2 linked regions of the Oryctolagus cuniculus genome follow. The protein of the gene in region 2 purifies or fractionates together with the protein of the main gene of each other region. This does not show direct contact. Links are inferred from orthologs where the notes say so. Each region holds a gene or a part of one and is shown on either strand. Other genes may lie near its edges.

Region 1 (3,850 bases), on a different chromosome or scaffold from region 2:
TTGGCTTTTGACACCTAGCAAAGAGGGCTCAGGGTGGAGAGGCAGGAGTGAGGGGTGAGGCAGGGGTTCAGGTGCAAGTCTGCTCCTGCTGAGGGCAGGAAGGGCGCAGGCAGGGTTCTGGACAACCAGGAGCAGGAGTGGCACCTGGACTGGAGCTGCCACAGAGGGCCGGACACAGGCCAGTGCCTCATCCTCTGGCCAGACACTACAGGAACCAATTCTTACCTTCAAGATTAACTTGAAAATACAAATCTCAAAGCATACTTACCAAAAATAGGTTATTTAGCCTTATATTACAAAGCATAGAAGACATTTGATTGTTTTGAAAAGAGAGCTGAAAAACTCTGGAGTTTTTCTTAATACTAAAAACTAATCCAGGCCAGCACCGCGGCTCACTTGGATAAACCTCCCACCTGTGGCACCGGCACCCCAGGTTCTAGTCCCAGTTGGGGCGCTAGATTCTGTCCTGGTTGCTCCTCTTCCAGGCCAGCTCTCTGCTGTGGCCTGGGAGTGCAGTGGAGGATGGCCCAAGTGCTTGGGCCCTGCACCTGCATGGGAGACCAGGAGGAGGCACCTGGCTCCTGGCTTCGGATCGGCGCAGCACACCGGCCATGGCAGCCATTTGGGGGGTGAATCAACGGAAAAAAGAGGACCTTTCTCTCTGTCTCTCTCTCACTGTCTAACTCTGCCTGTCCAAAAAAAAAAAAAAAAAAAAAAAAAATCCAGGAAACATTTAAAAATTCTACGACTACTATTTTAAAAAGGCACTTAAAACATTCCTTTCCTTTTTTAAGATTTATTGATTTATTATTTGAGAGGCAGAGGCAGAAAGAGAGAGGGGTCTTCCATCCTCTGTTCACTCCTGAATTGGCTGCAATGGCAGGAGCTGCACCAATCCAAAGCTAGGAACCAGGAGCTTCCTCAGGGTCTCCCATGCAGGTGCAGGAGCCCAAGGACTTGGGCCATCTTCCACTGCTTTCCCAGGCCATAGCAGATAGCTGGATTGTAAGTGGAGCAGTTGGGTCTTGAACGTGCCCACACAGGATGCCGGCACTGTAGGCAGTGGCTTTACCCGCTACACCACAGCGCCGGTCCCAAAAACATTAGTTTTCAATTCAACTCAAAATACATCTTTGTCAACTACATTTTAGACAAATGCTTTTTAAAAAAGCGCTTAATTTTGGTTCAGTGTTTCCTGTAGCCCAGTGATATTTACCATCCACAAGGCCAAAAAGTGTGGAGGACGGAGCCCCAGATTTCTGCAGAAGCTGAAAGTGCTTTTATCAGAAACAGATGAAGTCAGTGATTCGCTCTCTCACTGACGACATCCTGTAGTCGTTTAAGCAAAACATCGTCATTTTCCTGACAGAGGCGTTTGGCAGGTGATTCTGCCTCACTGTCAATGGCTATTGCTCGCTTCTTGGTCCTCTGTTCACCTTGCCTTATCATGTTGTTGATATCTTTCAAACTCTGCAAAAACAGAGGACAGCTGTGAGTAAAATGGGAGGGAAAGGGAAACTGCTGCAAACAAGCTAAGTGGCTTTCTTCCTCTTCTCTGTTCTCTAAATCTACACACTGGGGGAGAGATTATGTTTTTAATCTAGATGAACCTAATAAAGGCGGGTAGAACTGATTCTTTCTGGTAAATTTTAAAAACTGAATTTCCTTATGATTGTAGTTCTGAAAATAATAGTCCCCAGATTCCAGGCGGCAGCAGCAGCTACAAAGTTGTCAGAAATGCAAATCTCAAGCCTCTCCTATAACTGTTGAATCACGCATTCTGGGGGTGGGATTGAGCAATCTATCTTTAAAGACTTATTTACTTATTTATTTTAAAGACAGAGCAGTAGAAAGAGAGAGAGAGGGAGAGAGGGATAGAGGGGGAGAGAGGGAGAGAGGGAGAGAGATGGAGGGGGGAGGGAGGGAGGGAGAGAGGGAGGGTGAGAGAGAGAGAGAGAGGGAGGGAGGGAGAGAGAGAGGGAGGGTGAGAGAGAGAGAGAGAGGGAGAGAGGGAGGGAGATCCGTCGTCCACCCACCAGTTCACTCCCCGAGTGATTCTGATTTATAATTTCAAAATCACTGTCTCAGGAGTCAACTGTTCCAATCTTCAATATTATGCAACATTCTCTTCTAAACATACTTACTGGAAATGAATTTCTATCAAGAAAAACATTCTGAGACACACCACATCCCAGTCAACTCTGTTTTCTAAGCACAGCGAGAAAGCAATGGGTGTTTGTGAACAGGAGACTGAGGAGCTATGCTACTACTGAATGTAGACTGAAATTATAATCTGCCTCACTATAATTTCTTCCAGTTGATAAGAATTCTAGCTTTTGTCGAAATACTAAACTTATTTGCTTGAAAGTCCTTTAAATACCTGGAGATAGCAAACGTGTCCCTGACCCAGCTTCTTCATCGTACCGGGGAGAGGGAGATTAGCACAGAGATGTCCACGTGGAATACAGAAGGCCTCTGTTTCCAGACTTCCTGGCTGCCATCAGTCAAGCAGACCATAACTTTCTTTAAGCCTGCACGTGTACCATCCTGCATGTCTAACCACTTGCAGGTCTTTTTCACTGGTCCCTCAAGCTTGAACACTGGAGAGAATCACTGGACTATCACACTGTACATGCTATACAGTAGCTCGTCAACAGCAGTGGATTCAACTACCTCAACTGAGATACTGTCTTTTTTTTTTTTTTTTTTAACATATTGGTCTTGATCATTGGTAATACATCATTGTTAAAAATCCATACTTTATTAGTAATAATTTGCCAAAACAAAAACCAAGATTCATTACTGATGGATAACTTATGTATTTATTTGTATCTGTATATTTTTATTTATTATTTGTATTATTGTATATGTATTTATATGTATATAAATGACGAAATCTGTGTGCACCTTACCTTAGAAGGGCTGCCGTTGAATCTGTAGAGCAGGGCGCTCCTTGGCGTGAGGCCAGACCCATTCTTGTGTGGGGAAACATAAATAGAGTGCTGCTGGGAAACACGGCGTGGTGAGCCTGGCTGTTGCTTAATATGAGGAAAAGGAGAGAGTGGTGGCACATCCATCTGGAATAAACCAAAAGCCAGACTTTCTGTTTTTATTTTTTTAAGTGGGAGGGAGGGAGAGAAACAGACAAACAGACGCCATGCTCATCTGCTGGCTCAATCTCCAAATGCCTTCAATGGCCAAGGCTAGGCTAGGCTGAAGCTGGGAACTCAACTCAGGTCTTCCAGGTTGCAAAGACCCAAGTACTTGAGCCATCGCCTGCTATCTCCCAGGGTGCACAGTAACAGGAAGCTGGAATCAGGAGCAGAGCTAGGACTCAAACCCAGGCACTCTGATATAGGATGCAAGCATCCTCAGTAGGATTTTAATCACTACGCCAAATGCCTGTTCCCAAATTTTTTTTTTTTTGACAGGCAGAGTGGACAGTGAGAGAGAGAGACAGAGAGAAATGTCTTCCTTTGCCGTTGGTTCACCCTCCAATGGCCGCCGCGGCCGGCACGCTGCGCCCGGCGCACCGCGCTGATCCGATGGCAGGAGCCAGGAGCCAGGTGCTTTTCCTGGTCTCCCATGGGGTGCAGGGCCCAAGCACCTGGGCCATCCTCCACTGCACTCCCTGGCCACGGCAGAGAGCTGGCCTGGAAGAGGGGCAACCGGGACAGAATCCGGCGCCCCGACCGGGACTAGAACCCGGTGTGCCGGCGCCGCTAGGCGGAGGATTAGCCTAGTGAGCCGCAGCGCCGGCCCCAAAGTAAAATTTTTAAGATACATTTTTCTTTTTTTCCAATCTCACCATATTTTTATTCTTATGGAATTTCTTAGGAGGCAGTTATGA
Region 2 (5,397 bases):
CAAACAGCTGTTTCCTTCCGAAGTTCTTTGTCAACATGAGTCCAACTTTTTTTTTTAAGGACTTTTCTCCCTTTATCCGGGAGAAATAACTCTGTGTGTGTCTGTATATATGTTTAATATATATATGTGATGTTTATACAACTTTTTTTGTAATAACAAGAAAAAATGGAAACTTCCTTAAAATATAGAGGAGGCTTAGTGAATGACGGCTCATTCAACCGATGGAATACTAACTGCTATTAATGTTATTATTTAAATTTCAATTGTTTAATACAAAAATGAGTTCATAGCACAATTGTAATTAGACAAGGCATGAACACACCTGCTGGTGTGAAATGTGTGTCAGTGCACACATGTCTTCTTAAGAAAGTCCGGAAGGGTGGATGCTGTTATGAACATACAAAGGGGGTGTGTTCCTGAGTGATGCCTACTGGTGATCCTAGCCTACTTACTGTTTTCTGTATGGTAAAATTGTTGGTAATTACCAGAATCTAATTTTTAGTTTTTGTTTGGAACTTGGATATAGTTGCTTATTAACTTCTTGGTTCATAGCATACCCCTATTGTGAGTTTATATAGGGCCTCTCTCATTTTAACTTTGCTTCTTTTTAATAAGTTTTTATATTCATGAATTACTTTTAATGTCAGAACAACGTTTTAAAAAGATTTATTGATTTACTTGAAAGTCGGAGTTACACAGAGAGAGAGAGAGACAGAGAGAGAGAGACACAGAGAGAGGTCTTCCACCTGCTGTTTCACTCCCCAGATGGCCACGATGGCCGGGGCTGGGCCAAGCTGAAGCCAGGAGCTTCTTCCAGGCCTCCCACTTGGGTCCAGGGGCCCAAAAACTTGGGCCATCTTTGCTGCTTTCCTAGGTGCATTAGCAGGGAGCTGGATTGGAAGTGCAGCAGCCAGGACTTGAACTTGCACTCCTATGGGATGCTGGTGCTGCAGGCAGAGGCTTAACTGATTGTGCCACATGGCAGGCCCCAAAGTCAGAACAGTGAATAACGCTTGTACAAGCAGGGCGATGAAGGGCTTCACTTGTCTGTAAGAACATCAGGGGTGTCAGAAATTGTGAGCGCAGAGATAAGAACACTGGCACCAGTCATCTGGGACCAGGGCACATCATAGAGACCTCCTTTAGTCAGGGTTATCTCTGTGACAACTCTGCTTCCAAACAGTCTGCCGAAACACAGCCTTTACAGCCACACCTGGGTTTGAATTCTGACTTCCCCTGCTCACGGGTGGGCCGGCTTTGGGAGAGTCACTTCAGGGCTTGCTTTCTCAGCCGTATAACCGAGATACAATGTTATAGTGAGGATGAGACCTCTAACAGGCGTGGGAAGAAGTGCAAGCCGATAGTAACTGCCAGTTGGGGGATTCTGCTTCTCCGGATTTTCTTAGGCCATCAAACACCTCTAAGCGAAACCCACGGGGAGGGTCTCTCAGCTCTGCACCACACTGGCATCCATACCAGCGTCCTTCCTGGCTACGTGTGTTCTCTTGTTTGGTGCCAGCCATAACTTGCTGGTAGTGTTTAGGGGAAGCCCACACAAAACCCGTTGGGCACGCAGTGCGATGCTGTCTAAGGCAGTCACGCTGGGAGAGAAATGAGCAGCGTTCTACACGGGAACACTGGGGACGCCTCTGACCCCTGTGTGCCTACGACCTGAAGACTTCCCTCATCCCATGAGCCCCTCGACCCATCTGAGGCGAGGATCTACTCCCGGCGATCTTGTCCTATTCTGTCTCGGTTACTTAGATGTGCATTATGCAAGCTTCCTCCATTGCTAGCAATGAAAACTTGACTCGGGAATAACTTAGTGGTCAAGGTGGCACTTGCTCAAGTGTCCGGCAGCAGTGAAACCTTGGCGGATGGGCTGGAGTGGGGAGAAGGCAGGAGAGCAGGTGGAGGGAGGAAGGGGTTGTCTTCCAGGTGGAAGTTTGAGCTTGGGAAGCACTGGGTGACAACCTCTTTCATGAATAGGGACACTGTTGGCCACTTCCTCTTCCTTAGATGCGAAGCTGTATGCAGACCTCAATTACATTAGGAGGGCAAGTTTGAAAACACCAGCAATCCAGAACTTTTATTTTTTTTAACCAGTCATGAGAATCAGTCTGAAGCTAACCACTTGCCTAATTTTTTTTTTTTTTTTGCCAAATTTATTTAAGGTCTGGTCTGATTACTTCAGGGCCTTTGCTCATTTGAATGATCGCCTTAATATATCAGTGCTGTACCTGCAGACTGTGGGAGGGGAATTCTGCTGGAAATTTACACAGGCTGGAGGCTTTCATTGGGATTTCTCCTCTTACACCTGTGTCGTCTGTCAGATTGTGTCTGTGGCTAGTCTGTGAAGAGACTGAGCCCAAGACCCCGACACGGACACTACCTGCACACGGCAAAGTCAGGCTTAGAAATCAACCACCAGATTAGCGACTTTCGCTGCGTGCAAGCCCGGACGAACGCTGATTAAACACCATTACCTGGGGGGGCGGGGGTGGCACAGCAGACAATTCCCAGCACGCCCAGCATGGGGAGGGGTCCACGGGCTAATGCACCAGGAGCCGGATGTTAGGGAAGGGCTCCGGCCGCGGGCAGCGCAGGACGGGCTCGGCACCCACGCGGGGTCTGCAGTGGGAGGGGGCGCGCCGGCCCGGAGGCTCGGACGTGGGTCCCACGTGGCAGGGCCCGGCCGCGCGTCAGCCGCAGGGGCACCCCGGATGCGGCCGCGGCGCCCGGGATTCCTGGGATGTCTGAGGCGCGCGGGCGGCCTCCTCCCCGCCCCCGCCGCGGCCTCCGTGGGCATTTTCCGGCGAGGGGGGCCGCGAGCCCTTCCGAGAACGGCTCCTCCGCGCGGCCGTGCGCGGCCGGCGCGCTCCCCGGGAATGCAGGCGGCCGCACCGCGGTGAGAGCCCTCGGGCCCGGGCGCGCGGGGGTGGGCTTCCCGGCTTCCCGCCCGGCGGCGGCCCCGGCGCCCCGGCCCCTCTCCGCGCCCCCCCACCCCGCCCCGCGGCCGCGCGCGCCCCTCCCCCCGGCGCGGGCGGGGCTGCGGGCGCCCGACGCGGAAGCGCGGGAGGCCGCGCGCGCTCCCGGGGCCGCAGTCGGCGCGGGCGCGGCGGGCGCGGGGCGGGGCGAGGCGGCCGGGGAGGCGGCGGGCGCTCGCGCACGGGCCCGGCCGCCGCCTCGCCCCCTTCCCCTTCCCTCCCTCGGCCCGGCCGTCCCCCTCCGCACCCCTCCCCCGAGCGAATCACGCGCCCTCCTCTGACACTCGTAGCGGGCCCGAGCTCCGAATTTATCCTTCACGTGACCTGAGGGGGGTTGGGTGGTTGGCTGGGGACCGAGGGGGAGCAGGAAAGGAGGGAACGAAGTCTGCCGTTTCCCGGGCAACAAGCCCCGCCCGCCGGCTTGGGGCCGGGGGGGCGGGCGGAGGACGTCAGCACGTCAGCCGGGGTTTTGCGTTTTGATTGACAGTTGCCATAGCGACCGGGTCGGTCCGTCGCCATTTTGTTGGTTGGTTTTTTTTTAAACCCTTTCGCTTCCCGCCCGAATAATAATAAAAAGCCCCATTGGAGTGAGGCGGGGGTGGCGGCGGCAACCGCGGCGGGGGGATCCGGGGAGACTGCTGCCGTCGCTGCTGCTGATCGCGGCCCAGGTCGGGCTCGGGGAGCGGACACCCCGAGCGGGGGGTGCGGGCGCCGCCGCCGCTGCCGCCGCCGCTTCTGCTGCTGCTGTTCCTGCTGCTGCTGGTGGTGCCGCTGCCGCCGCCGGCCAGCGAGCGAGCGAGCGGGCGGGCGGGCGGGACCGGTGTGAGTGTGCGAGTGTGTGTGTGCGAGCGAGCGGGCGTGCGTGCGTGTGCGAGTGTCTGTCTGTCTGTGCGGGCGCTCGGGGGCGGGCGGTTCGGGCGCTCCTGGCGGAGAAGCCGCCGCCGCCGCCGCCGCCGCCGCCGCTCGGGCCCGGCGCTCCTCGCTGCGCAGGTTTGGAGCGCGCGCCATTTTGTGCGATTTACAAAATCCTCCTCGGGAAGAAGCCGCCGGCAGCGGCCGCCACTCGGCGCCCGGCCTCGCCGCCGCCGCCGCCGCCCTCCGCGCGGCCCCGCCGCCGGGACTCGGGGCCCGGGGACTGCGGTATTTGCCGGGGAGGGGGCTGTCGCCGCCCCGGCCCCCGGCGCCGCCGGACCCGCGAGCGCGAGAGACTGAGGAGGCTGCGGCGCGGCCAGGAGCCGGCCGCGCCGGGGGCGGCGAGAGGCGGCCGGGGCGGCGCTGGCTGCGGAGGCCGCGGCGGGAGCGCGGCGCGGGAGCCCGAGGCTGAGACTCACCGGAGGGAGCGGCGCGAGCGCCCCGCCATCGTCCCGGTGAGTGTCCGGCCCGGCCCGGCGCTCGGCTCCGCCGGGCCCGGCGGAGGGAGGGACCTGCCATTTTAGGAGGAGGCGCCGCGGGGCCCGGGGCCGGCCGCCGGGGGAGGGAGCCCGCAGCCGGGTCCCGGCGGGGCGGCGGGTGCGCGCGGAGGGAAAGTTGCGGAGGGTGGGAGCGGGGGCCGCGGCCTCCCGGGAGCCGGGCCTTCTCTGGTCGCCGGGGCGGAGGGAGGAGGCTGTGTTCCTCCTCCTCCTCCTCCTCTTCCTCCTCATCCTCTTCCCCCAGCTCCTCCCTCGTCCCTCCTCTAGGTCCCCACCAGTGTGGGAGCCGCCGGGGTTCTTCGCAAGGACAATGCACGGGTTAAGGGAAGCGGGGCCGCGCCGGGCGCCGGCGAAGGTCGGGGCCCGCTGGCTCGGCGGCCCTCGGGGGTCCGCGCCGGGTGGGGGTGGGGCGGGGGACGCGGCGTGCTCGGAAGTTGGGGCCGGAGTGCGGGGGAGCGGTGACCTGCTTAAGCCGCCGCGGAGACGCGAATTAAAATTGATACCTGTGTATTGCTACAAAACTTCGCGAGTCTATTTATAGGCACAGACCCGCCGAGGCTTCGCAGGCACCGGGGCCGCCGACTGTCTGAGCATTCGGCGAAGGCCTCCCCCCGCCCCCTCCAGCCTGAAACAGTTAAAAATGGCAAAATTAGTGAGTCAGTGGTTGCCTGTGCCTTTCGCCCGTCCCTGGATCCTAGGACTCCCATACTGCAGGTGCAGCGCTGGAATGCCAGCACCGTTTGCTTCTGGAATTCCGCCCCGACGGTCGGAAGAGACCCCCGTCTGCATTGTTTTCCGCATGTAGAGATTAGGGCAGATGGTGGCTGGCACTCCTCTCACGGCTTTGGGGATATTTTACCCCGTGTGCTGCCGGTAGGAGGTGTTAACCCATTTTACAGATGGGCACATTGAGCCCGGAGAGCGGGCAGTGACTCCTCCAAGGTCACACAGCTGGGGCTCCCGGAGCCAGGGGGCTGGCTAGGTTCTAACTAGCAAATTTC

Evidence for each region. Proteins that work in one complex are often made in the same cells at the same time.
Region 1: the proteins of DYRK1A (region 2) and RBL1 purify together in Homo sapiens (affinity purification with mass spectrometry; 3 studies listed by BioGRID and IntAct, with this or other methods). This does not show direct contact. The link is inferred for Oryctolagus cuniculus from reciprocal best matches to the Homo sapiens genes DYRK1A and RBL1.

What each region holds. Positions count from the first base shown.
Region 1 is NC_091442.1:21,478,228-21,482,077, reverse strand, and holds the end of RBL1 (retinoblastoma-like protein 1), read right to left. Parts: exon of another isoform or gene 3,767-3,850; intron 3,078-3,766; coding exon 2,913-3,077; intron 1,471-2,912; coding exon 1,300-1,470; 3' UTR 974-1,299; downstream 1-973. UniProt on the Homo sapiens protein: Key regulator of entry into cell division. Directly involved in heterochromatin formation by maintaining overall chromatin structure and, in particular, that of constitutive heterochromatin by stabilizing histone methylation.
Region 2 is NC_091435.1:7,581,464-7,586,860, reverse strand, and holds the start of DYRK1A (dual specificity tyrosine-phosphorylation-regulated kinase 1A), read left to right. Parts: upstream 1-2,099; 5' UTR 2,100-2,908; intron 2,909-3,438; exon of another isoform or gene 3,439-3,513; intron 3,514-3,589; exon of another isoform or gene 3,590-3,655; intron 3,656-4,230; exon of another isoform or gene 4,231-4,354; intron 4,355-5,397. UniProt on the Homo sapiens protein: Dual-specificity kinase which possesses both serine/threonine and tyrosine kinase activities. Exhibits a substrate preference for proline at position P+1 and arginine at position P-3.